Linked DNA regions of Notamacropus eugenii. The protein of the gene in region 2 purifies or fractionates together with the protein of the main gene of each other region. This does not show direct contact. Links are inferred from orthologs where the notes say so. Each region holds a gene or a part of one and is shown on either strand. Other genes may lie near its edges.

The links.
Region 1: the proteins of SSRP1 (region 2) and H2AX purify together in Homo sapiens (affinity purification with mass spectrometry; 4 studies listed by BioGRID and IntAct, counting the BioPlex papers as one, with this or other methods). This does not show direct contact. The link is inferred for Notamacropus eugenii from reciprocal best matches to the Homo sapiens genes SSRP1 and H2AX.
Region 3: the proteins of SSRP1 (region 2) and TOP2A fractionate together in Homo sapiens (co-fractionation; 3 studies listed by BioGRID and IntAct, with this or other methods). This does not show direct contact. The link is inferred for Notamacropus eugenii from reciprocal best matches to the Homo sapiens genes SSRP1 and TOP2A.
Region 4: the proteins of SSRP1 (region 2) and MCM7 purify together in Homo sapiens (affinity purification with mass spectrometry; 4 studies listed by BioGRID and IntAct, with this or other methods). This does not show direct contact. The link is inferred for Notamacropus eugenii from reciprocal best matches to the Homo sapiens genes SSRP1 and MCM7.

What each region holds. Positions count from the first base shown.
Region 1 is NC_092876.1:279,716,563-279,722,880, forward strand, and holds H2AX (histone H2AX), read left to right. Parts: upstream 1-4,799; 5' UTR 4,800-4,907; coding exon 4,908-5,345; 3' UTR 5,346-5,794; downstream 5,795-6,318. Other genes in the region: DPAGT1 (UDP-N-acetylglucosamine--dolichyl-phosphate N-acetylglucosaminephosphotransferase), read left to right, coding at 1,031-1,118, 1,266-1,421, 1,575-1,640; HMBS (porphobilinogen deaminase), read right to left, coding at 6,311-6,318. UniProt on the Homo sapiens protein: Variant histone H2A which replaces conventional H2A in a subset of nucleosomes. Nucleosomes wrap and compact DNA into chromatin, limiting DNA accessibility to the cellular machineries which require DNA as a template.
Region 2 is NC_092873.1:2,927,961-2,935,098, reverse strand, and holds the start of SSRP1 (FACT complex subunit SSRP1), read left to right. Parts: upstream 1-4,128; 5' UTR 4,129-4,286; intron 4,287-4,957; 5' UTR 4,958-5,072; coding exon 5,073-5,126; intron 5,127-5,634; coding exon 5,635-5,820; intron 5,821-7,138. UniProt on the Homo sapiens protein: Component of the FACT complex, a general chromatin factor that acts to reorganize nucleosomes. The FACT complex is involved in multiple processes that require DNA as a template such as mRNA elongation, DNA replication and DNA repair.
Region 3 is NC_092873.1:355,954,825-355,962,186, forward strand, and holds the start of TOP2A (DNA topoisomerase 2-alpha), read right to left. Parts: upstream 3,022-7,362; 5' UTR 3,017-3,021; coding exon 2,966-3,016; intron 1-2,965. UniProt on the Homo sapiens protein: Key decatenating enzyme that alters DNA topology by binding to two double-stranded DNA molecules, generating a double-stranded break in one of the strands, passing the intact strand through the broken strand, and religating the broken strand.
Region 4 is NC_092873.1:80,676,646-80,683,570, reverse strand, and holds the start of MCM7 (DNA replication licensing factor MCM7), read right to left. Parts: upstream 3,021-6,925; 5' UTR 2,829-3,020; coding exon 2,798-2,828; intron 1,534-2,797; coding exon 1,454-1,533; intron 1-1,453. Other genes in the region: AP4M1 (AP-4 complex subunit mu-1), read left to right, coding at 3,288-3,345, 3,447-3,535, 3,713-3,819, 3,892-3,988, 4,142-4,252, 4,341-4,421, 4,635-4,697. UniProt on the Homo sapiens protein: Acts as a component of the MCM2-7 complex (MCM complex) which is the replicative helicase essential for 'once per cell cycle' DNA replication initiation and elongation in eukaryotic cells.

The DNA.
Region 1 (6,318 bases), on a different chromosome or scaffold from region 2:
AAGTGCTGCCATTCACCTCATCCTCCACGTTCATACCCTTCAACGTTATCTTTGATTTGTTCTTCTCTCTCATCTCTCTCATCGTCCATCAAGTACCAAATTCTAGCCATTTTGCCTCTGCAGAATCTCTCATTCCATCCTTTTTATTCTCACTGTAAGTCACCTTGTATATTCATCGCCATCTGCCCAGGCTTCTGCAGTAGCCTTCTAACAACTTCTAAAACTTCCACTTTCACTTTTCCCTCATTCCAGTCCATCCCTCATAATGCTGCCAGGTCACAACCCCTCAGAGGATTACCCTTTGTCCCCTGAGTAAAGATCACACTGCCTTGCCTGGCATTCACAGCCCTCAGAAATCTGGCCCTCACTACATTTTCAGTCCTCTATTACTCCCCGATATCCTGTACTTCAGTGAAATTGTACTGCTTGTTACCTTTACATGTTTTCCACTTGGCTACCTTTCCTCAACACAGTTGCTTATGCCTGAAATGCCCTTTCCTGCTCCCAGGTGCTCCCAGTGCTTTAAAGCTCAACCTCTTACTGCTAGGAATCCTCCCCTTCAGTTATGACATATTCCTTCCTTCCCTTCCCTTACACCTGTGCCTTTTAAGCATTTATGTGGACCTTGACTTATTTAACCTCCTATATTTTGTTTTCTCTGTTCATGTGTGTCATATTCCTTAACTAAATCTTAACTCCATAAGGACAGGAATTGTCTTATCTAAGCTTTGTTTACATTTCATCGAACACCTCGTGTAGTGTTCAGCACACAGTAGACACTTGTTTGTTGAATTGAATAACTCAAATGTACAGATTTTCAGGTCTGTAAAGTACTTTCTTCACAGTCCTGTGAGGTAGGATTATTATAATCCTCATTCTACAGATGAGGAAATTGAAATTCAGAGAGGACATGTTACCATGGGTTTCCACAACCAATAAGTTTGTGACCCTAGAATGTGAACCTATGATTCTTAACTCTTTCTATAATACTCTGCTGCCTCTTGAGTGTCACACTCCATTTCCTCTGTAGGCTCAACACCAAAACTGGGAAGCTGGAGATGAGCTATTCCAAGTTCAAGGCCAAGAACCTTTCTCTCTTGGGCACCCTGATACTGAAGGTAAGGTTGACATGCACACCCAGGTACTACTATAGACCCAGAGCATGGGAACTCCAGACCCAGAGCAGACCTGAGGGAAGGTTTGTGCTTTTCCTCTTACTGATGTGAAACATGGCTATGGTTAACACCCACCTTCTGCTTCTCCAGGGTGCAGAAGCCCTCCGATTGGTGGCTGTCCGTCGAGGTGAAAATGAGGCTGGTGCCTACATTGAGTGCAACAACATGACCCTCATTAACCTGCTCATCAAGATCTTGGGGCCCATTCATGAAAAAAATCTCACTTTGTTGCTTCTGCTCCTGCAGGTGATCCTTTGGGCTAAGATGGGCATGGCGGGTCCTTATCCCTCTTCCTTATTCTTCTGTTTTCCATATATCCTCTCCCCAGGCTGGTTACCCTCCTAAGGTCTCCCTCCCTGCCTCCTTTTCTCATGACTCTCCATCTATTTCTCCTTGCAGATTCTGGCTAGTGCTATCACATTCTCTATTCGATACCAGCTGGTTCGGCTCTTCTATGATATTTGAGTCTTTGACGGTGACTCTTTACTTCACAACCCTCTGCCCCTGTCTCATGTGGACCCCTGTTGGACTAAGACTGTATTCCTCATAAGCCTATTGGGCTTCTCCCCATCCTTATTGTCTTCAAAATTATCTCCTTGGGGAGGTATCCTACCCCTCAATGATTATTTATTGATTGTATTTGCCCTATGGACTTCCCTAAATTGACATTTTTCTCCCTTTCCTTCCTTTCCTGATGCTTCCCCTGGGGCAGGAGGCAGCAGCTTCTTGGAAGCTAGGTTGCCACTAGGGATCAGGCTAAGTCCCTGGTGGTTCCTAATGGTTCCACCCTGAATTGATATGTTACTGGGAATTAAGCATTTTGATTAATAAGGAGCAACCTGAGTGGTCATTAGCTCCTTTTGGTGATGATAAATATGTTTGGTTCACTTTTTTAACTGTGGGTGTGCTCTTGTTTTCAGATGATTTTGGGGGGGCAGGGGAGGGAACACTTCCCTGCCTGCTTCCACCATTAGGTAAATATCAAATCCTGGCCCCTCTTTCTGTCTTCTTTGCTCCAGATACTGAGCTCCTTCCCTTCCTTGCAGGTGGGGGAAACATACATAGTTAAGTCATGCAACCTATGTGGAAAATTACATTGGAGAAAAACAACCAGGTGGAATAGCTATCTGAAAATGTGTCACATAGAAGGAAGTATTAGACTTCTTTTGCTTAAGTCTTGAGTATAGACCCAAGGCCAATGAGTGGAAGTCACATAGGAACAGATTTTGCCTTAGTAAGAGAAAATTTTCAAAAACCAACTCCTTATCAGAGCTATCAACAAATGGACTGAACCCCTTCAACAGGCAGTGAACTTGCCAGTCAATGGAAGCTGTTCAAAAGGAGGTCACTAACCACTTGTCGAGGACTGCCACTGATAAGAGTGAATGAATGAAGCACTTATTAAGTGTTTACTATGTGCAAAGCACTGTGCTAAGTGCTGGGCAGGCACATAGAAAAGTCAGGCCGGCCCTCCCCAGGAGCTCATATTCTAATGGAGAAACACCACATGCAAGGTTCAGCTGCAAGTCTCACGGTTCTTAGGGTGCAGCTGCAAGGGAGCTGGAAATACCTTTTCTTTAATGTTACTTCCACCAATAAAATCATATTGACTTCTGATGGTGAACCACTTGGCAGTGCCAGGGGCTTTGGTGGCAAGACCCTTCTTTTCTGAGTCTTCAGTAACTGTGGCTGCAGCACTTTCAGAACAATTTTGAGGGCTGGGCTAGAAGCAGGAGTGATGCTGTAAAGGTTGCTGAAGCTCTTAGGGCTCTTATGTCTATCTGCCTGTTGGTGGCAATTATTTCTAGTGTTGATGACAAAGGTTGAGAGGGATGATCGCCCTTTTAACTGTCCAGTCTTAAGGAGTGGAAGTGAAGGATGAGAGGGAAAGACTGATCTCTGAGGAAGACATAAGACCAAAGGGTGGAAATCTGAAAGGTAAATTTAGATTTTATGTAAGGAAAAATTGCCAAACAGAACTATGGAAAGGTAGAATAAACTGCTTTGGTCACTAGTAGGTTTCCCCCTTCTTGGGTGTCAAAGTCTTGAAGCTGAGGTTATATTGTAGATTGGATCCTATTCAGGTATGGGATGGAACCAGGGATGAGGAACCTTTGGTATCGAGGCTGGAACTTTGAAGTTTGGATTCAACGGCTGTACTAGAGGGCCACAAGTGTCCTTGAGGTCAAAGGTTCCCCATCCTTGGTTAGATGGATGGATGGATGGATGGAGGGAGGGAAAAAAAGTAAGTGCTGACTCTCAGTTGTTTCAGACTCTATGACCCCATGTGGGGTTTTCTTGGCAAAGATACCGAAGTGGTTTGCTATTTCCTTTTCCAGCTCATTTTACAGGTAAAGAACCGGGGCAAACAGCTGCCCCTAACGACAACAAACGTGCTAAGTGCGGGAGATATAACTAGAAAAGTTTGAGTCCCTGCCCTCCCAGCTCCCAAGTCCCCTCCCTCTTGTAGATGTGAGAGAAGACCCCGATCCTTCAGCTGGGGCTGGGGCCCAGTCAGGGGCTGGAGTTTTCCCTTCTCTTAGGGACTGGGCTGCAGGGACCTCTTCTTACCCACTGAACTTGTTCAAACAGGGTTTGGATTTGGAATAAAGGGCCTGGGCTAAAGGAAAACCAATTCAAAACTTCATTTTAACCTTGACCCTGGGTTTTTGCATTTCCCAAGACAATCATCGCTAGTAACAGCATCAAGCGCGGGGGACAAAGAAGGTCCGCCCAGCCTCCCACCAGAGCTCACTCAGCACGCGGTGAGCACCTGCGGCGTACCGGCACCGGCCCGAGGGGCGCGGAGGGCGGCGCCAGGCCGTGCAGTCAGACACGCCTCCCTGGTTCGGATCTAGTCTCAGCCGCCGGCAGGCTCGGGGCTCCTCGGCAGAACGGGCTGGAGAGGGAACGGCAAGCCGCAGCCGCTGCCTGGAGGGGCGGGGAAGGAAGGCGAACACGCGGGAGGAAATCTTCGGGACTAGTCCTTAGGCAAGGGGCGGGCCCTCATGGGAAAGGGCCTTCCTCACCCTTCCCGTAGCGGGCGCCTCCGGGGGGCGGGGCCCGGGCTCCGCCGGCGCTGGACGGTCCCGAGGGACCGCCCTCTGTCCGGCTCTTTCGGTCCTGTCTGACTCTGTGGCTTTGTTTTCTTGGCAAAGATATTGGGGTGATTCGCCGTTTCCTTCTCTAACTCATTTGACAGATGAGGAAACTGAGGCAGACAGGATGAAGTGACTTGCCCGAGGTCACAGCTACTAAGTGTCTGAGGTCGGATTTGAAGTAGGGAACCCGAGTACTCTTCCGCGGGCGCTCATTTGCCTTTCTTGGCGCCTAGGCCATTTGAATCTCCCGCGCTTCCGATGGATTGGCCGCTTGGGGGAGCGGGAAGCCGGGGGTGGGGAGGAGCGAAGCCGACCGCGCCCCTCCCTCTAGTTTGCTAGTCGGAGTGATCTTCCCCGGGTTAGAAGAATTTTTAAATCCAGCCAATCGGTAAGCACGCTCATACGCTCAGGAGGAGGAGCCTGATAGCTAAGGGCAGCCAATCGGAGGCGGCCTCCATGATGCAGCCAATAGGGAACTAAAGGACGCTGTGACCGGCCGCCTTAAAGGCGGCAGCTTTGCACGCGGACCGGCATTTAGACTGCGGCGAGAGTTTGGTGAGTGTGTGTGCGCACGCGCAGCCGTTACTCGCGGTAGTTCTCTCGGAACCAGTCTCGCGCTTTATACGTTAGCATGTCGGGTCGCGGCAAGACCGGCGGGAAGGCCCGTGCCAAGGCCAAGTCTCGCTCTTCGCGGGCCGGGCTGCAGTTCCCTGTGGGCCGTGTGCACCGATTGCTGAGGAAGGGCCACTACGCGGAGCGAGTCGGAGCCGGCGCGCCGGTGTACCTGGCGGCCGTGCTGGAGTACTTGACGGCCGAGATCCTGGAGCTGGCGGGGAACGCGGCCCGGGACAACAAGAAGACCCGCATCATCCCCCGCCACCTGCAGCTGGCCATCCGTAACGACGAGGAGCTCAACAAACTCCTGGGCGGCGTGACCATCGCCCAGGGCGGCGTCCTGCCCAACATCCAGGCGGTGCTGCTGCCCAAGAAGAGCGGCGCCATCACGGGACCCAAGGCCCCGGGCAGCGGCGGCAGCAAGAAGAGCACGCAGGCCTCGCAGGAGTACTGAGCGCCTCGCCGGCCTCGGCCCGTGGCCGCTCGGCCCGCACCGGCCCCCCTCCCCCACAAAGGCCCTTTTCAGGGCCGCCTCCCCCCTCCCTGAGAGAGCTGCTGCACCCGCCTCCCTCCCCGAGCCCCGCCCCCGCCGGCCCGGCCCGGCTAGAGCTGCAGCCCGGAGCCCGGAGCTGCGGCCCGGCCCGCCGGGGCCCGGGTTATTCTGACTCCTTCTCTCTTGGCAGCTACCGAACAAAGCCCGGGGCCATCGCGCCCCAAGGTCGCGCGGGGCCCCCAGACCAGCGAGGGCCAGACCTCGTCCGAACCCGGCCGGCCCCGACCCTGGACAATGAACTGAATTTTCTCAGCTTAGACTCGTTGCCTTTATCCGGGGAATTGAGAGACTGTGAACGACAATTCGGAAGTCTGATTAACTTAATTTTATTAAATTTTTTTTCTAATGAAGTTTCTTGTCTTTCTTCAGCTCCCCCTAGGTGCCAAAGGTTAGCTAAAGATCGTGGTGATTCGGTGGCCACTTTTCCTTGGGGGAATTTGGGTCTGGAGAGTAAAAAGATTTTAGTACGTAAATCAGTCAACGTGCGTATTTATGTGCCAGGAACTGGAGATAGATATACTGGAAGGTGAATGGGATGACTGTCCACACCCCAGTCATCATCTACAGGCTAAATAAAAATTCCACTAGAGTAAGGTCAGGTGTTTTATTGACAAATTTGGTTACATTCAAAGTCTGTAGACTCTCCACAGAAAACAATTCTCCAGCCCCTTGTAAAAGAGGGCCAGAACAAGGCACTAGGAAGCTTAGCAGCAACAGGTCCCCTTTCCCACACCTGAGGCCCAGATGATGCAGTTTTTTGTGCCCAGGGATAGTTCCTGTTGAGTTAATTAATCCGGGAAGGATTCAGGGCACCCCAGAACAAATCTGGTCAATGTTCCTGGGCAGAAAATGCCCTTGGGACTAGGTTAGTGGG
Region 2 (7,138 bases):
TCCTGTGTAGCCAAGGGGATTCCTGTTCAGGTAGTAGTAGTATTTGATGGCATCTGAGGTTCCTTCCAACTCTGAGGTTCTATGATTCTGTGGAGACCTGGCTCTTGCCCCACTTCTGCCTCCTTAGTATCTGAGTGACCTTGGAAAAGTTCCTTAAACTTTCTGAGTCTCATTCTCATCTCTAAAATTGCTGAACTAAATAACCTATAAAGTTCATTACAGCTGGAAATCCAATGATCCTGTGATTAATCCTCCCCTGGGTTGAACAAATTGTGGTATATTCATGCAATACAATACTATAATCCAATTATAGTTATGTGTGAGAAACAGAGAAATTGTTATGAAATAATACAGTGAGAAAATATGCAGAGCAATGGTGTCCACACAGACTATAATGATATGAGGAGGAGGACATGAGAAAGAATGGACAGATCATGATGGGAACTTAGGAGGGAAGGACTGAAATAATAACATTGTAATGCATTGAAATGAGTTATTTAAATGTAAAGAAGTAAGCAAGTTTAGATTTATGTATTTATGGTTAGTGCTGTTTCTGATAACACATTTAATAGTTCTTAAAAAATGTTTTAGTGCTGCATTTTGTCTTTATAACTGACATTTTAGCCTACCAGATCAGAGTGAATTCTCCTTTTCAACAAAGCCAAAAAAACCCCAACAATACAACACTATACCCAATTTATTTCTGTGCCAAGAGCAGAGAGGCAGAAAATATTTAATTTAATTTTCTAAGAGACAGAAACAGGCAGCTTCTGAAGGAAAAAACAAGATGATTTTCTTGGGGGAATGAAAGTTGGCTCTGATACTTAATTCACTAACCCTAAAAATCGTCTTGCTATTAATACAGTGGAAAGCTGGTTGGATTTGCAGTCAGGAGGCCAGGAGCAGAATCTCATTTCTGACCCTTAGCTCAGTGACCATGACAAGTCAATAAGGAAAATGAAAAATGAATAAAGACATATTTTTTTTTTTAATTCACAGAAGAAAACAAAGTGCAGAAGAGGAACATGAAAAATAGAACCATTTTGTTACTATCCTGTTGAGTTGTAAATCAAGGAAATAATAGCTAGCATTTACATAGCAAATGCTTTACAAATATTTTATTGAGCCTTACAATGAGTAGGTGATAGCATTATTCTTGTTTTACAAATGAAGAAACTAAGGCAGATATTGGTTAAGTGACTTGTCCAGGATCACACAAATAGTAAATGTCTGAGGTCAGTTAGAATATGGGTCTTCCTGACTCCAGGTCCAGCATTCTATCTACTGCACCACCTAGCTCCTATGGAAAACAAATATTTTGTTAAGAAAAGAACAAGGAATAGAAGTTCGATAGGTACCTTGTTGCTTTATTTTTACTCATTTCAATGTTTGTGTTGAAAAAAAGGGAAAAGGACCTATTTGTACAAAAAAAGTTCATAGCAGCTCTCTTTTGTGGTGGCTAAGAATTGGAAATCGAAGGGATGCCCAGCAATTTAGAAATAGCTAAACAAGTTGTGGTAAATGATTGTGATGGAATATTATTGTGCTATAAGAAATGACAAGCAGGATGATTTCAGAAAAACCTGGAAAGACTTACACGAACTGATGCAAAGGGAAGTGAACAGAACCAGGAGAGTGTTGTACACAATAACAGCAATACCGTATGATGATGAACTGTGAATAACTTAGATGTTCTTAGCAATACAATGATCCAAAACAACCCCAAAGGACAAATGATGAAGCATACTATTTGTCTCCAGAGAAAGAAATGATTGCGTTTGAATACAGACTGAAGTGTGCTATTTTTCACTTTTTCTCTCACTTGACTCTTGTACAAAATGACTAGTATGGTAACATTTTACATGATCACACATGTATAACCTATATCTCAGGGAGAGGTAAAATTTGGAACTCAAAATTTAAAAAGAATGTTAAAAATGTTTTAACATGTAGTTGGGGGAAATATATAAAAAAACAACAACGGCAACGGGGTCTCACACCTACCTTCTCTCTAAAATGTAAATGATATTCACATTGTTCTACCAACCTAGGCAGCTTGTTGGGGAAGGATTTTGCAAACATTAGAGGGCTGTATAAATGTGAACCATTATTCCCAGAGGTGTCCCATGATTTGAATTTTGGGGAGTAGTCCCATTCCTGGAGTCCTACATCCTGTCTATAAGTAAAGGACACTGGATTTGAAGTGTGGGGACCTGAGTTCGAATGCCTGCTGTGATGTTTCTCAACTAGGTGACCTTGGGCAAGTCACTTCACCCTGTTTGCCTCGGTTTCCTCATCTGTCAAATGAATTCGAGAAAGAAATGGCAAACCAGTCCAGTATCTTTGCCAAGAAAATCTCAAATGGGGTCATAAAGAGTCAGACATGACTCAACAACAACAGCTTACATGGGTCTTTGGATACCTCAAAGCACTGTAGGCATGCCATACGCATTAGGGTGATGAGGTTCTAGCACTTGCAGCTACACGTCTGGTGGAAAGCATTTATCTCGGTACCCTCTGACAATTTCCTAAGACCCCTCCCTGTCTTGCCCTAGGAAGGAATGGTTATGAATTGTACCCAGGACTGCTGGAAAAGGGATTGCTTCTGGCTTCTGCCATCTCAGAGAGCTGCCAAATCAGTTCTGGCTCCACTGTGAACCTGACACCGGAGACTGAACCCGACACTGAAATCTGTTTGCTTGTCTCTTTCTATGAGAATAAGCCTTGTGATTGTGGGAGGGGCGGGGTTGTGAGGATAGACAGCAGGTCTGTACCTTTAAAAGCTACAGTCCCACGGTATGGGGTGCTGGGAAGCCTGTGGCTAACTCACCGCATAGGCTTGGAGAATCCCTTGTCCCTTTCTCAGCCTCAGTTTCTTCATATGGGGCGGAAAATGAGGCGGAAAGAGAGTTTGGACAGGATGGATCTGAATCTTGCGCTCTGGTTGCCTAGCTAGTTCCGAGCCTCTCACCCCGTTAGCGGGTGGGGGCGGGGCCGCTGTCCAATGGACAGTCCCAGATTCGCAGTCAGGGCTGATCCCCATCCATACCCGAAGAATTGTGCCTGCAACGTATTAGGGCTCTTCTTGGGGATCTCTAGTGAGCGGGGAATTTGGGGGGGGGGTGAGGGCCTCCTCATCCCAGGGCATCACTCTAGGAACCCTAGGACTCAGAACTGGGAGGAACTTTGATAACCCGGAGACTCCCCTTGGTTTCACAGAAGGGGATGGGGAAGGGCCTCGCTCAAAGCCCCACGCGTGGAGGGCACAAGGTGGGAGCCGAATGCGTCCTGCTCCAGGTCTGGGGGGGGCCACACAGCTGTGCCCAACGGGCCAGGAAGCCTGTGCAGCCACGCACCTGCAGGCACGCACACAGCCCAGGGGCACACACCCACAGACACAGACACACGCACTCACGGGTACAAACACAAGTACGTACAGACACAGACATAGACACACACAACACAAGCGCGCATACACACGCACACAGCCCAGGAGCACACACAAAACACACGCGCGCGCACACACAACACACAGACACACACGCACACAGCCCAGGGGCACACATACAACTCACACACATGTACACACACACTCACGAGTACAAACACAAGTACGTACAGACACAGACATAGACACACACAACACAAACGCGCATACACACGCACACAGCCCAGGAGCACACACACAACACACGCGCGCGCACACACAACACACAGACACACACGCACACAGCCCAGGGGCACACATACAACTCACACACATGTACACACACACTCACGAGTACAAACACAAGTACGTACAGACACAGACATAGACACACACACAACACACGCGCGCGCACACACAACACACAGACACACACGCACACAGCCCAGGAGCACACAAACAACACATACACAACACATAGACACACGCACACACATGCACACAGCCCAGGGGCACACGCACAACACATAGACACACACGCACGTACACACACACGACACCGCAGGGTGCCGAGCTCGCATGTCCGAGGTCTGGGTACCGCTCGCCGAGCCTCGGGCCCCGCCCCCCTCCCGCAGTCCTCCAGCCTCTCTATGATGTCTTGGCGGGCCAGCAGAGATACTGCGGGGTCCCCTCTAGCCCGCTCGTCCTCTCTATGGCAGCGTCGCTTCCGGTGGCGGGAGCCGGGGCTGCGCACGCGGGAAAAGATTGTGATCCTGGAACCCCCCCCCTCCCCATAGTCCTCCCCTCCCGAGACCCCCGAGTGTACATCCATGCCCCCCAGGAACCCGGGGTTGAGGAGGTGAGGCGCGGGGCGGGAGTGAAGGGGGTGAGCCGCCAACATCCAGCCTGGGGGGAGGGCGGCTCGGAGGTGGGGGAGGGGAGAGGGGAGGGGGAAGAGAGGAATCAACAAGGGGAGGAGAGACAGGGTGGGGGGTTCGGAGAAGGGGCTCTTGGTTGGGAGGGAGGAGTCAGGTGAGGGACGTGAAGGGGAGGGGCCACCCAGAGCCTGGGAGAGGGGGACTCGAGGGTCCCTAGGTGGGGAGCCGGGGCCAGGGGCCACGTGAGGGAGGGCTGGGGGCGCCTCCGGGGGAAGTCCTGGAAGGGGGATGGGGAGGAGGGGGCCACTGGGGGGGCGCCGCGAGAGGCCAGGAGCCCCGGCTCTGCCCCCACGGGGAGCTGGAGGGGGGGGGCTCGGGGCTTTGACCCGCACTGGTCCAACGTCCACCTGCTCCGGTCCCGCGGTGTCGGGCGTGGGCATTGGGACCACAGCCACCAAAAGTGTCCTGGTTCTCCTGGGAGGTCGTCAGTGAGCCCCCTCCTCCGCCCCCTCCTGCCTCTAATCTCTCCCTGCCTACTGAGAGATGGAGGGGATCCTACAAACCTTTATTAAGTAACTATGTAACTACTCGCTGTGCCTGGCACGCACTTTTCATTTGCCTCCTCGCTTTCCCTCTTTCTCTTTGTTTCCAGGTCCCAGTAGGCTTCTGTTGACCTGCTCACCTCTTTGGAACCAGCGTCTTCCTGGGGGGGTCCTTCTGCTTAGTTTTCTGTTGTCTGGCGCTGGGGCTCCTGGGGCCGGGTCAGCATGGCAGAGACTTTGGAATTCAATGATATCTACCAGGAGGTGAAAGGTTCTATGGTAAGAAAGAAGGGGCACTTTAGGTAGAGGAGAGGGAGGATTGGAATGACCCCAGACCCCGGACCCGAGGACTACGGAGAGGGGAATAATCTCTTTCCGCAGGGGGGCTGACACTCTTGATAGTTTTTGAGGCTCGTGGGTTTCTCGGTATTTTCTTTAGTTTTTAACTAGCACGATGATAATATAATTATGGGGAAGACGTAGAATTATAGTCTCTTAGAGCTGGAAAGGACCCTTATAGCTTACCTAGTCCAACCCCTCATTTTACAGGTGAAAAAACTAAGGGCCAGAAAGTAGAATTGGCTTGTTCTAGGTCATTGTGGCAGAACTTGGGCTAAAAACAGGGTTCCTGACTCAGTCTGATGTTTTTGCCACAATTCCATACTGCCTCAAATTTATCTGCTTTGTTTTCTGAGCAACTTGCTGTCAGAGTGGGGGTCAGAGTAACAGGAATCCAGAGCATGTTTTATGTGATATCTTTGAATGTTCTGGTCCTTTTCTCCTGCAGAATGATGGTCGTCTTCGGTTGAGCCGACAAGGTATAATCTTTAAGAACAGCAAGACGGGCAAAGTGGACAACATCCAGGCTGGGGAGCTGACGGAAGGTGTCTGGAGACGGGTGGCTCTGGGCCATGGCCTCAAGCTTCTTACCAAGAATGGACACTTCTATAAGTATGATGGCTTCAGGGAATCGGTGAGATTTGCTCTTTCTCCTATCGCACTGGAGCCTGTTCTTACTCAGCCAGTCTTATACGTCTATGTCTTCTCTTTGCCTTCCAGATATAACTAATCTCTTTGTCATCCTATAATTGTATAACTCTAGGGGCCATGGGACAGTACTGTGTGACTTCTTAGTGATGCTTGACCATCACCTTCTCTTTGGTTTTAGGGGCATGTGAATTTGTCAGATTAGTTTTTTCGTCTTTTGTCCTTGCCTGAGTAACTCAATCTTTATTTTTTTTTTTTAGTCAGTTTTCTCTTCCTACCCCCAGAGAGGGAAAATAAAGGAAAATGAAACTTTATTACCAAATATTCATAATCAAACAAAACAAATTCTTATGTTAGCTATGCCCAAAAATAGGTTAAACTTTTCAGCTCACTGGTAGGAGGTCAGAAACATGCTTTAACTTCGGTCCTCTGGAATCATAATTGGTCTTTGCATGGATTGGAGTTCTTACAGCTTTCAGAGTTGTTTGTTTTTACAGTGGTGTTCTGATGTTCTCATGGTTCTGCTTCCTCTGCATCATAAATCTTCCTGAGGTTCTCTGAAACCATCCCACTTCATCATTTCTTCCAGCACACTAATTTCTGTTACATTTACGTACCATTATTTGTTTAGTTGATGGGTGTATAGCCTGGTTTCCAGTTCTTTGTTTGCTAGTACAAAAAAAAAGCAAGCTGATATAGATAGCTCCTTTTTTCTCTTTCTTGCATCTCTGGGGTATAGGCTAGTAGTAGAATCTCTATATGGAAGGGCAGTTTAATTAATTTTTAGGAATGGTTCCAGATTTCTTTCCAGATCAGCTGGACCAGTTCATATGTCCATCTGCAGTACGTTAATGTGCCTTGTTTTCTCACAGCTTCACCCACATCTATCATTTTCCTTTTTTGTCAACTTTGTTGATTTGATAGGTGTAGAGTCTTACAATTACTTTAATTTTCATTTCTCTAATTATTAGTGATCTGGATCAGTTTTTGCCTTCAGTATACTTGTAAATAACTTGGATTTCTTTCCTTGAAAATTTCCTACTTATATCCTTTGATCATTTTTCATTTGGAGAATGGCACTTTGAAAACCTATTCCTCCCCTGCCTTTCTAGTCTTTTTACTCCTTATTCCTTGGCATGTACTCTTTAGTCCAATGATGCAGGCTTCCTAGCTGTTCTACAACATACATACCATCTCTTGGATCTGGGCATTTTCTCTCACTGTCTTAACATGTTTGGGATGCTTTCCCTTCTCATCTCTGCATACTGCTTCCCCTGACTTCCTTTATGTCTCAACTAAATTCC
Region 3 (7,362 bases), about 350 Mb from region 2:
CAAACAGGGTTAAGTGACTTGCCCAGGGTCACATTGCTAGGAAGTGCCTTGAACCACTCCAAGGATGGCATCATATCCACTGTACCACCTAGAGCGGGCATTGGTGCACTTGTATTCCTCAAACAAATGCTCCATCTCCCATCTCTGTCTTTTTAGCTCTACTCTCTTACTTTCTCTGGTTTCTTTGAAGACACTTTCTGCAGAAGATCTTTCAAGGTCCTTTTAGCTGCTTTTTCCCCTCGGAAATTGCCTTTCATCTAACTGTATAGATCTTGCATATATCTATTTATATGCTCTCTTTTCCCATCAGAATGTGCACTTCCTGAGGGCAGTTTTTTTGTCTTCATTTTCTCAGCATAAGCACGGTACACTGGTTCGTGCTGGTACTTAATAAATAATGGTTGCTTGACTGATTCTGTTGTAAAAGCCCAGGCTGAGCTCACAGGTCTTGAGAGACCTACGAAAGCAATGCTTAGAAAAATATACTCACTGAGGGATTGGGGTGGGGGTGGGAAAGCTTTCTTTGGTGCTGTTTCCTACAATTAGAGTGTAATTGAAGGCAGGGATTGTCTCAAGTTTTCTATTTTTTCCTATTTCCCCAGCCTAGGTACAATGCTTGGCACATAGTAAGGGATTAATAGAGGCTTCCTCTTCTCCTCAGTGAGTATCTTCCTAGAACCTCCATTTGAGGAATTTCCCAGGGCCAATTACCACTCAAGTCTCAATGAGCTCTACCCCTTACTCAACTTTTCCACCTCTGGCCATGTACCTTCCTGGTACCTTCTCTCTTCACCTTTCTCCCTCCCCAAATTTTCAGTTCCCTTTTGTGTGGTGTTTTTTTTCCCGTTAGAATGTAAGATCCTTGAGGATAGGCATTGCTCTCATATATCCAGTAGACATCTTAAACTCAACATGTCCAAAAGTGAACTCATTATCTTAACTCAAATCCTTCCCTATTCCTAATTTCCCTGAAACTGTTGAGGATACTACCATCTTCCTAGTTTTCCAGGCTTCTTAACTTTCCAGGTATCTTAACTTCTCACCATCTTTTTTTGAGGTAGTTGGGGTTAGGTGACTTGCCCAGGGTTACAGAGTTAGTATCTGAGGTCAAATTTGAACTCAAGTCCTCCCAACTCCAATACTCTATTTCATTCCCTCCCCCCTCATCTAATCTTTGCCAAGACCCATCAGTTTTATATTTGTGACATCTCTAGCATGTGCCTCCTTCTGTCCTCTGACACTGTCACTACCTTGGAAACAGGTCCTTATCACCTCAGATTTGGACTGATCAATGTCCCTGCCACAAATCTCTCAGCTGTCAATTATATGTCAAAGTGATTTCAAGTCTGATCATGTCACCCTCCAACAATCCCCCTCTAGTCTCCTATCACCTCCAGGATCAAATATAAAATGTGTGATTCAAAGCTCTTCATAACCCAATTTATCTCCGTTTATCTTTTCAATCTTCTTACACCTTATGCTCTGATCCGACCATACTCATCTTCTTGTTGTTCCTTGAATGAAAATCTCTCCATCTCCTAACTCTGGACATTTTCACTGCCTGTCCCCTTTATTCAGAAAGTTTTTCTTTCTCCTCTCTGCCTTCTGACTTTCCTGGCTTCCTTCAAGTCCCAGCAAAAAGCCCATCTTTATAGGAAGCCTTTTCTAATCCCTTTTAATTCAAATACTTTTCCTTTGTTCACTGTCCCTTATATGTCTTATCTGCACATAGATGCTTGCATTTTTCCCCCCAAGAGGGCAAAGAGTGGGGACTGTTTTTTTCCCTTTGTATTCTCAGTGCTTAACACAGTTCCTGGCATAGAAGTGCTTAATAAATTCTTTATTTGCCATCTTAACAAATGCCTTTCTGTTTATTCACCCTTATTTTTTGTCAGGGGAAATATTTGACAGAGGATTGCACTACACTCATTCTGGTGGTTTTATAAGATCCATGAGCACTTTGCTCACCCTTTATTATCATCCCTCCCTGTATCAGGCAATGTGATATGGTTAGTTGGTTGGTTGTTGTCCTTTGTTTTCGAAGAGGACCAAAATGACATCACCATGATAAAGTCAAGTTTCAACATGTTTGGCTGTGTCTGATCAGACCAATACGAGCTCTACCACAGATTGGGCACAGATAGTCTTTGTGAACATTTGAGGTGGTTACTCCAAATTTGCGCATCCTGCATTTACTTTGTGATGTTTCAATTCTGCTTTGCTCATAGAACACAGCACCTTTTCTGATGTGGGCATGCCATACTGAGAGGTCCTGTGCCAGTGTCTCCCATGTTGCACAATCAAATGTGCAATCAAAAAGGCAATGTGATATAGTGAAACCTGGAAAGCCAAGAGACCTGGGCTGTTAAGAAGTTTTGGATATTTAAGACCATTCTTACAGATGAGAAAATGGGTTGATTTCAAACACAACTCTCCGAACTTCCCTAGTGTTTTTCAACAGCAGCTCAACTTTAGACCATCCTTGCTTTCAGGTGGTATCCCTCCTCTCCCATGCTAATTTTTTGCTTAGGATTGAGTAAAACTGAAGGAAATTAGTCTCCCAATGTTCCCTCTTCATCATGTGCTGGGGAGGGAAAGGCATGATAGAATTATTTTAAAGCCAAATTTAAAAAAATCAAACCTGCTACCTCTCCCTTCTATTAAAGCAGATTCAATAAATAAATAATTAAGCACCTAAGAAGTTCCTGCAGAGATACGGCAGAATTCTCGGTTCTTATAGAGTTCACAACCTAGTTGGGGAGATGTGACTACCACTACGAGTCCTTAAGTGACATTTGATCTGATTGAAGATCTGATTGGAACAAGAAGAAAGGAGCGGCAAGGGTGTGAGTAAAGCTGCTATTACTCTTCCTTGTCCTTCTACCTTTCTTGATTTACTACTTCCTAACAATCAGACCCTCAAAAAAGAATCTTTAAAAAATAAGTGACTAACATATTCACTTGCCTTAGCCTTATTAGGATTTCTCTTCTTCCAATCACCGCAGTTATAAACCATCTCTTCCTTTGAGATGAATGTGAGAAAGGAACTATGGCATGTCACTTATGAGGCTGTATCTTCTCTGATGTCATAAAGTGGTAGTTGGGGTGGGGGCAGGGAAAGATCACATCATAACTCTATTCCAGTTTAAAGAAAGTGTGGTACAACAGTTTGGGACTAGTTAATTCCATTTCCTTTGTGTAATTAATGACATTAATTATGCTAAGGTGTCATGTGGATAAGATTTCCTGTAAGTGGGCTAGTCAATTTCATCATTCATTCATTCACTTTTATTCCTTAAGTATTTACTGAATACCACAGGTCCCAAACATTTTTGACCCCTTTACTATCCCAGATTCAGTATGGGGTATTTTGGGTGACACTTTTGCAAATATGACAACCATCCAACCCACAGACCAGGCACAAAAAATAAATTAGATGGTACAGTATTTAGTTATGATAAAATAAAAAGTAAATAAGGGAAAATTAAGTGGTAGAACCATTCTCAGCATGTCAGCACGACTCCTCCCTGCTAGCCTTCCATGCCAGCAGGAAAGGGAATATCCTCTGGAAAAAGCATATTCCTAGGAGAAGAAAGGTTGCATCTCTTTTGGAATGCCTCTCCTTTCCTCTTCTTCCCAAACTAATGTTCATTTTCTCTTCGAAGCTACTACTGACATCTGCTGGAACTGTCATCTGCTGATGCTTCTTCCAGAGAAGATAGAGTAGTCTTACAGTGCTTTGGTTTTTTGGAGGGGAGACTTTTCAAGACAACATGACTCAGGGCTAATCAATACATTCAGTTTGGCTGAAATGTTGAGTACTTGAAAAAGGAATATGTAAAATAATGTAGGTGGCAGTCAGATTTTGAGGGACTATAAATGCCAATCTAAGGAGTTTGTATTTTTCTTAGAGATGATAGAACATCACTGAAGATGTTTGGGCAGTCACCTGGTCAGACTTGCACTTTAGAAATGCTAATTTGTACTTGTGTGGAGAATGAGCTGGAGAGGGAAAAAGACTGGAAGATGGGAGAACAATTAGGAAGCTATTGCTAGAGGGTAGGAGAGGTGATGAGAGTTTGAATAAAGTGGAGAGAAGAGGTACTAATTCTGGACATGTTATAGGAGTAAAATCAACAAGACTTAGCAACTGATTGGATATGGGGGGGGTGAGGGGAAGAATCAAGGATGACTTTGACTTTGAAAATCTGGGTCATAGGAAGGATGGTGATGCCTACAAAAGAAATGGGGATGTTTGGAAGAGGAATGGGAATATAATGAATTTTATTTTGGTAATAATGGGTTTGGGATGTCCAACAGACAGTGAGCTAAGAAGGACTGGAATTCAGGAGAGGAGATTACAGCTGATTGAAGAATCATCTGCATAGAGGTGATACCTCAAGCTATGAGAACCAATGAGATCACTGATTGAATGAATATAGAGAAGAGAAGAGGTCTTGAGGAAAAATCTTGTGCTTGTGCTTGTATCCGTGTGTGTAGGAGTAAAGGAGACCGAGAAGAAGCAGGCAAATAGGTAGGGAAATGAAGACAGAACAGAGCAATGACTCGGAAGTTAGACGAGATAATATTTATAGGATCACAGAGCTTGAGAGTTGAAAGGTACCTCGGTCTCTATATAGTTCAACATATACACAAAAGGAATCCCCCACCATAACACCTCAGATAATTAATTGTTCATCGCATTTCTTGCTTGAAGATCTCCAAGCAGGAGGAACCCTTCATTTCCGGAAGCAGTGCACTCCCTTTTTGGACAATGCTAATTGCTCAAAGTTTTCCCTGATATCACAGGCTAAATCTTTACAGCTTCCATTGCTTGCTCTCTGGGGCCCAACAGAACTAGACTAGATTCTCTATATGACAACTCCTTCAAATACCTGAAGACTTTTATCATGCCCCACTGAGTCTTCTCTTCTCCAGGCTAAACGTTCCTAATTCCATTAACTGGTCTTCATATGACAAATACTGAAGGCCCTTCACCATCCTGACTTCCCTCCATTGGATATTTTCTAACCTATCAAGGTCCTTCTTAAATTATAGTGTCCAGAACTGAACATAGTATTCTAGATGAAGTCTGACAAAGGGTAGCTAGAAGGTGCAACAAATAGAGCACTGGGTCCAGAGACGGGAAGACTCATCTTTCTGAGTTCAAATCTGATCTCAGACACTTACTAGCTGTGTGATCCTGGCAAGTCATTTAATTCTGTTTGCATCAGTTTCTTGCTTTATAAAATGAGCTGGAAAAGCAACCCACTCCAGTATCTTTGCCAAGAAAATCCCAAATGGGGTCACAAAGAACAAGATGAAGTCTGACAAGAGTAGAGTGCAGTGGGACTATCACTTTCCTATTTTCCTGGAAGCTCTGTCCCTGTCAATGAAACCTGAGATTAGTTTAACTTTTTAGAAGTCTTCCATATTTCGCTATAACCTCATATTGAACTCATTGTCCAGAACTTTTTTTTTTTTTTAAAGAACGACTTTCTTAATAAACATACCTCCCCCATTTTCCACTTGTGAAATTGATTTATGGTACAATGTGAGACTTTACATTTATCACTATGGAGTTTTTTCTTTGGAATTCTGTTTCTGCCACCCAGTGTATTAACTATATTTCTTGGCTTTGTGCCTTCTTCCAATTTAATGAATTGCACCATCAAAAATGTTCAATGACACAACACCAAGCCCAGATACAAAGGAGTACCTTTGCCATATCCATATGGAACCATTGGCAATTACTTTTTGAGTTGGATCATCTGACCAGTTCTGGACAGATCTGATTGTATTGTCATTAATCCATATTTCTTCACTATAGCCACATGGATAGTATGAGGACACTTGATCAAAAGCTTTGCTAAAATCAAGGTAAACTATATTCACAGCATTCCTCTCATCTCTTATTTTAGTGTGTGTAGAGAAATGATGATACGACTTGTATTTGACTTTGTTGTTTTTGAGTGAGAGAGATCTGTGCGGGTCACCAGCCTCACTTCTCCTCCAGAGCCATCTGAATTCAGTGACCATTCATCAGAATGACTGGAGATGGCCCAGGATGAGGCAGTTGGGGTTAAGTGACTTTCCCAAGGTCACACAGCTAGTGAGTGTCAAGTGTCTGAGGTAAGATTTGAACTCAGGTCCTCCTGACTCCTGCACTGGTGCTCTATCCACTGCACCACCTAACTGCCCTCTTGTTTTAGTAATCCTGTCAAAAAAGGAAATGAGGTTAGTTTGGCATAACCTGTTCTAGAGGAAGCCACGTTGGCTCTTTATAAGGGAAAGGGAATAAGCCTTTATTAACTGCTCTACTATATGCAAGGCATTGTGCTAAGAGCTTCATGCATATGCCATGTGATCTTCACAATAACCCTGTGATATTGCTATTATCACCCTCATTTTACAGTTGAGAAGTGGAGGCAGACAGTGGCCAAGTGACTTACCCAGGGTAACAGCTTGTAAATGTTTGAGACCTTCCCAACTCCAGGCCCAGTGCTCTATCCACTTCACTATCACCATTTGTTTTCCTTTTCTAGATGTTTTTCAACCATTTTTTAAATGATTGGTTCTAGAATGTCTCCAGGAATCAAAGTCAAACTCCTTGACTTATAGATTCTGTATAGGGTATAGACTCTGTTCTCTTGCCCTCTTTTGAAAATCAAGACAACATATTCCTTTTCCAACTTCTGTCATTTCCTATGACCTTTCAGCTATCGATGATAGTGGCTCAGCAATCATACTGGACAGTTCTTCCAGGACTCAAGGATATAGTTTATCTGGTCAAGTGACTTGAATTCCATCTTTTTGCTCTAATAGAAACTTGGATTCATCAAGAAAACAGCTTCCATTCCTGTCCACTCTCTTGAGTACCAGGTTCTCCTTGTGTTCTCCCACTGATGTTCCTTTTATTTGAATGAGAAGACCCTTTAGTCCAAAGAAAAGACATTTAATCAAATAGCAGAGCACAATGAATTACAAGAAAACTCTCCTCTTCTCCTTTTCCCACATCCACCATATATATGTTCACTTTGTTGGGTATTATAGAGGCTATACTCTCCCACAGATTTCCATACCGCTGGTTCCATACCTGGGAGAGGCCACACGCTTTGGGAACATTCAGAGTTGAGGAACCACCTGAATCTCTGATCTTTGTTCTCCACCATGTCCCTGTAGTCCTTTTAACCCTGAAAGATCCCTCTGCCCCCATAACCCTTTCCTCTAATTGGTCAATTCCTCTCAGAATCTCCATTGTCAGGTAAGTCCCAGGTCTGCCTTCACTCTTCCCTGGTCTCTCTGCTCCTGATCCTCTAGACTTCTTTCTCTGCTATCCCCCTTCCAAATTGTTAGTTTCCT
Region 4 (6,925 bases), about 78 Mb from region 2:
TCCAAATTCTTTTAATAAATATGTTCTGCACCATCCTCATCTTTCTCTAGTCTTAAGTTTGACCTTCCTAACCTGAATAAAATACTTTAGATATGGACAGTGAACAGTAAAATTATCAATTTGTTCTGGATATTATGCTTTTCTTAATGAGTACATTAAACTTTCCAGTTTTCATTTATCACTCCAAGAAAGAAAAAAAAAAGTGCTATTCTTCCCAACAAAATGATATTATCTGTAATGCACTGGCAATTAACTTTATAAGCTTGCTTTCTAAGCAACACCTCATATTTCAGTTTTCACTTACACAGCTGCCAAGATTTTTCTTCTCACAAATCCTGAGGATCATGGACCCTACACCTATCTAGATAGAGAAGAGTTGGGGACAATAGACTGGGTGATGCCATGTACTAATGATTCATGTTGAGCTTTGAGGTCACTAACACCTATATCTCCATCTTTTTGATGTGAATGTCTACCCACACTGCTCTCTTAATAAATGTTTGCTAACTGATTGACATCCAAAAGCATTTTATTAGATTTGGCCCACTAGTCTTTCCAGCCAATATTTTTTAAAATCTTAATTCTGTGATTAAACATGTTAGCTATCATTCTCACCTTTGTGTCACTTGAAAGATTTGGTAAGCATGCTCTGTATATCTTTGTTCAAGTTACTAATAAAAATAGGGAACAGCACAGAAGCAAAAACAGACTTCTGGGGCATTTCACTAGAGATCTCCCAAGATGAAAGGAACCTACAGATCATATGTTTAGTTAACTCAACAGTTCTAAGTCTACCGACATACAGTAGCTGAAGTCTTCATTTTGTTCATAGGATGAAAGAGTCTGTTGAAACATTGCTGAAATTTAGTTCAACTATGCTTAAGGCACCTCTCTAATCTAACCTAGTAACCCCATTTATAAAAGACCCTTCATGAGCACCACTTCCCTTTGCAAATGTTTGCAAAACATCCCTTAAATCTTAGCCACCTTGGCAAGGAATTCAAATTTCACTCCTCAATGTGCCTAATCGATGGAGACTTTGAACCTTCACTGTGCAATAAGCACTGCCTTTGAATTCTCACTGTTACAATAACATGATTTGGGTTTTCAAAAAAATCACATCACCAAAAAATATATATGTAATAAGCTAAGTCCCACAGGAAATATGATTTTCTAACCTTAAAAGTGTAGTTTCTGAAAGTAATCTTCATTTTCATCTGTCTTCCCACTCCACACTCATGTGATTTCCTACCCTAGTGGTTCCCTACCTTGTATAATCAGTTCTTCATTACTCCAGTAGGACCCAAACTCTGGAGAACTACCATGACCCATGACCCCCCCAGTAAGTCAAGCTTCTGTAGGAAAGCATATAGAATGAACCACTTCTCAAGTCTCATTCCTCATCTGTGTACCTGTCCTGGTTTTTCTTTTAATCACCCATCCCTGAACTCACCAGTTGGTCCCCATACTTGAATTGTTTCTTGCCAAACTCATCATCTCGGTAAAACTCTTGTAGAAACCTCTTAGCTTTCTCTGTTAGCAAAAAGACAGAAAATTATTTTTTCTTTTTCAGTCCTCCCTATGGAAACTCTTGATACTAGTCTTGATCTACTTGTATCAAAACAAACTGACTGGAAAAAGTCATCACAGCCTAATTTTGAAATGAATTGAGGAAGAAAGATTGCCAAGTGGTATTCCTTTTCTTCTGTTGGTGTAGAGTGGTCCAAAAAAATTTCATGTTGGGTCGCTATAATGTATTCCAAGGATACCACTAAAACTATCCAGACTGGGCTTTGCTTTTTGGCACAGTCCTTTTCTCCTTCCTCTATTTCTTCCCCACAAACAAGTTTCTAAATTTCCAAGTCTCCCAGCCTTCAGCTTCCCACTCCTAACAAAACTTTTATTCTTTCTCCAACCCTCAAAAGGCACTTTTCGGTGCTAAAAGGTGAGCCCATGACTCCAGCCTTACCTTTTTCACTAAGTCCCTACTGGTTCCAACAGTTTCCATTCTTTGTAAACAAAGAAGCACATGGCGCCAACCACAACCACACCCCCCTCCACTGCCCCACGGGATGCCTGAGCACTGCTCAGGGGAGTGCCCGAGATCCCGGGCAGACGGGGCACTACTACCCGGTGTCCTCAACAACGTCCTCTCCCTGAGCTCTCCAGGATGCTACCCCGACCTAATGCCCTCCCTCAACTTATCCGGACCTCATCAGTGCTGGCCCCGCGGAAGGAGATTATTTACATAGCACTGCTTTCGAACAGAAGCACCGCACTTCCGCCAGCAAACGTCACTTCCGTCTAGACGGCCAGGTCCTAAACCAATACCAGGGGCTCGGCGTGTCCCTGGTTCCGATCTCAAGGAAGGACTCGGGGACAACGGGGTCGGATGCAGGCTAGGCGGCTGCTCCGGGAATAGCCCCTCTCACCAAGCCCTCCGCCGGGGCACAGGGTTACTTTCCGCTCCTGCCCTGCCCTGCCCTCCGTAAACTTTCTCCAGCGGCCCGGTCCCCGCTCTCACTCCCTGTCCTCCCGCTCCCGTCCCCAGAGTCCGGCCACCTCCCTTGCCTGAGTGTGCCCTGCCCCTCCCGAGCTCCCCCAGAATCTCCCCCTGCGGCTCTTCAGTACCCCAGCTTGCGCCCCCCCGCCAAGTCCCCCAGGCCTCCCTTCTTCTCCCGCACAGCTGACCCCACTCCCCTGAGCCCCTTGCCTGCCTCTTCGCCTAGCCGCCAGCCCACTCTTCCCAGCCTCCAGCGCCCCAGGGGCTCCTGCCGCGCCCCCTTTGACCCCTCACCTTTTTCGGCCGCGTAGTCCTTAGGAGCCATAGCTGCCGGACGGAGCGGACGGGGTAGTGGTGTCCCGAGCAGAACTAGCGGGCCGGCGGCGGAAGGCGGTTGGTGGGATCTTGAAAAGGGAGAGAGGGAGAAGAGCCAGCGCGCAAGAAACTCGGGGGAGCAACCGAAATTGGCGCGAAACGTCCCTGACCACGTGACCGACGCTCCCCCTAGAGCCAATAGGGAAAGGAGTGTTTGCCGCCGCCGCCGAAGTTCCCGCCCCCGCGGGTGCGGCTCGGCCTGAGACCCCGCCCCAAGGGGGAACCGTGAGCGTCACCCTCTCCCTCCTCTTCCCCCGCTGGTCCGCCAAACCTCAGCCAATCAGGGGCCACATGGGGAGGTTACGCCTAGAGAGGCCGGGCTTAGTGAGGAGGCGGGGCTTAGTGAGGAAGCCAGCGTCCGGCGGAGTCCAGACCGGCCCAGCCTGCGCTTGTTGTGCCGCGGAGGGCCATGATCTCCCAGCTCTTCATTCTGTCCTACAAGGGGGACCCTCTCATCTACAAGGACTGTATCCTCCCACCCGTGGGCCGGGAGGGAGGGCGTGGGGCGGCTGGGTCCGGGGGCCGAGACGCTGGACAACCTGGGCCGCCCTTAACCCGGTCCGCTCAGTCCGAGGAGACTGTGGAGGCAGCGATGTGGCCGAGATCTTCTACAGGAAGGTTACGGAGCTGCCAGGGGACCAGCCTCCTGTGGTGATGGTAACGACCCTGGGGGGCACGGGGTGGGATCTGGGGCAAGGAGCGGTCAGCCACACTGGGCTAGAGAGGACGGGGGATCTGGCTTCCTGGAACGTCCTTCCAAGACTCCCGTTCTTGTTTTTAACCCTTTATTCGTGTTCGTTCCTCCACTCCCCAAACTGTCACCCATTCCCCAAGCATCACAAAGGCTACCACTTTGTCCACATCCGGCACTTCAGCCTCTACCTTGTGGTCACCACCTCTGGGGGTGTTTCCCCGTTCATTCTTCTCGAGCTGTTGTCAAGGTGAGGACGGTGGTAGAGAGAGGGGATGGGGAATTGGAGTTCAGAAGACCCATTGCTTCTTCTTTTCCCCAGGCTAGCCACCCTACTAAGTGATTATTGTGGCTCCATCAGCGAGAAGACTCTCTCCCTTAATGTAGCCCTTGTTTATGAACTCTTGGATGAAGTGCTGGTAAGGAGCAAAGGCTAAGGGCCCAGAGACTTCTCCCCTCATCTCCAATTCCAAGGAGATGCGCCCTTTTTATTAGAAGATCTAGGTCCCTTTTCCCTCCATCCACGCACACCTATAACTTGGGCATACAAAAACATACCATTTCTATTACAGGACTATGGCTACATCCAGACCACATCTTCAGAGATGCTGAGGAACTTCATTCAAACTGAGGCAGTGGTCAGCAAGCCCTTCAACCTCTTTGAGCTCAGCAGTGTTGGTCTGGTTAGTGAAGGAAAGGGAGAAGTTGGTTTGGGGAGATGAGTTAAGGTAGGATTAGCTAGAGGACTGACTACTTGTGGATTTTTTACAGTTTGGGGCTGAAACACAGCAGAGCAAAGTGGCCCCAAGCAGTGCAGCCAGCCGTCCAGTCCTAACTAGCCGCACTGACCAGGTGAGGAAGGATATCTGTGTTATCAAACATCCATGCATCTGCACCCATGTATCCAACTTCCCAGTGGTTTCTCTGTTCCAGCCGTTCAGTCTCCCAAATTCTTAGGATAATCCTCTATTTTCTGGGACCCAGATATCTCTTCTCCCAGTCTCTTCTACCTCTAATCCCTGAGAACCAGGCATTTGTTTACTCCAGATCCCTTTTCTTTTCCAGAGTCACAAGAATGATGTTTTCTTGGATGTAATAGAAAGACTCTCAGTGCTTATTGGATCCAATGTAAGTTTGAGTCCTTCAATTCACCTAAAAAAAATTTAGTACCAGTTAAGTACAGATTCAGAGATAGTATGGTATAGTAAATAGATAACTGATCTTAGAGTCCGGAATACCTGCCTTCTGATTCAAACTGGCCGTATGGTCTTTTAACCTCTTGGTGCCTCAGACACCTCTCTAAAGCTATAATTTGAGGGATAGTTGCTAAATAGCATTGGAATCAATTGACAAGGTTTCATTAAGCGCTTGCAGTGCCAACCACTGGAGGAGGGAGTTTCCTCAACAGGAGTTCCCTACACTAAATAAATCACAGAACTGGACCAAAAAATAAAAACAGAACTCTGGATGAGTCACTAGGGAGATGTGAAATGAAGACAATCTGTCCCATTTCAACCCTGGAACAGGAGCACATCCAAAAGGTATAGGGAAGCTAGGGCTGTAGCTACCTGGGACATTATTCCCAGTGGTGACACAATGAGCCTTTGATAAAAGGTTCATCCTGCATATTTCCCCTCAGATTGATTATGAGGGAGTGAGGAAGACACCAAACAACATTATGAGAGTTCAGAATCCTCGAGGTGGAAGAAACCTCAGAGTCCATGAGGTTCAATCCCTCCCTACCTATACAAGAATCTCTTCCATGTTATCGATAACACTTGATTATCTCTAGTGTCAGGAAGCACCTACTTTCTAAGGAGCCCATCCCTTTTGGGGATCATTCTGTTATTCCATTCATTTATTCAATAAGCATTAAGTGTTTACTATGTGTGAGATACTGCCAGATGCTGGAGATACAAAGTCAGTTAAAAACAATTTCTGCCCTCAGAGAGCTGGGAGCACTAAGGGGATCAGGAAAGACTTCCTATAGGAAGTAGTACTTGAATTGCATCTTGAAGAAAGATAAGAGAGTAGTGAGGAAGGAGCATATTTCAAATCTAGAGGGCAGTCTGCACAAGTGCTTAAAGGTGGGAAGTGGAATGCAATGAATCTGGGGTATTGGGCTAATTTAATTGGAGGCCAGCATGGAACAGGGTCACTAACTCTGGAAGCAGAGGACCTGAGTTTACACTCTATTTCTTGACACTGTGAACTTCACCGAAGTCAGTCACTTCACCTCCCTAAGGCTCAGTTTCCTTCTCTGTAAAATGAAGAGATTGCATTAGCTGGCATCTATGGATCTATCCAGATCTTCTGAGCCTATAACTGTAGAATACATGAAAGGAAGAAGTGTAAAATGTTAGAAAATTTTTCTTCACATTGAAGTATATCTGCCTTTCTACAAATTGCATCTTTTGCTCTCTGGGACCAAGCAAAAAAAGTCTAATTCTCCTTCTACATGACAGCCCTTCAAATATTGAATAAAGTGAACATGTTCTCCCTAAAACCTTTTCGTTAAGCATCCCCATTTCTCTTAGCTGATCCTTGTATGGCATAGTTTCCAGCTCCCTTGCCCTCCTGTTGCCCTCTGGATAATCTCCAGCTTGTCAGTATCACTAAGTACTTCAGCTATGATCTAATCAGGGCATAGTTCAGTGGGACTCACATGCCAAGATCTTCTTTGGTCTTGAATTTGTCATCCATTGTATTAATTGCATGGATTTGATATGCATCTATTCCTTCACCCAAGTTGTAAAAATTGTAAACAACATAGAGCCAGTCCCTGGAGCTTTTTGTTGGATACCTCTCTCCAAGATGGCATCATGATTATTCTTTGAAAGACTATTAAGTCTTTCAACCATTTATAAATCTACCCATTATTATCTGGTCTGTGTCTTTACATCTCATCCGTAAAGATAGCACGAGAGACTTGTCAAATGCTTTACTGAAATCTAGATGTACTGTATCGACAGCATTCTAATGAAGTAAGGAAACAGAGGTTTATCTTGTATGACCTGTTCTGTGTTAAGCTATGTTGTCTATATGTGATCAAAGCTTTCCTTCTTCTGGTGGTGATTCTTGTCCTTTGTTCTCAAGGAGAACCAAAGAGACATCGCTATGCTAGAGTCAAGTTTCAGTGTGTCCAACTGTGGCTGATCAGACCAGTACGACCTCAGAATGCTCTACCACAGGTCAGGCACATGTGTAAACATTCGGGGTGGCTACTTTAAATTTGCACATCCTGCATTTCCTTTGAGCTGTTTCAATTCTGTTTTGGTCATGGAGCACAGCCCCATCTCTGATGTGGGCACATCATGCTGAGTGGCCCTGTGCCAGTGTCTCCCGTGTCACAGAGT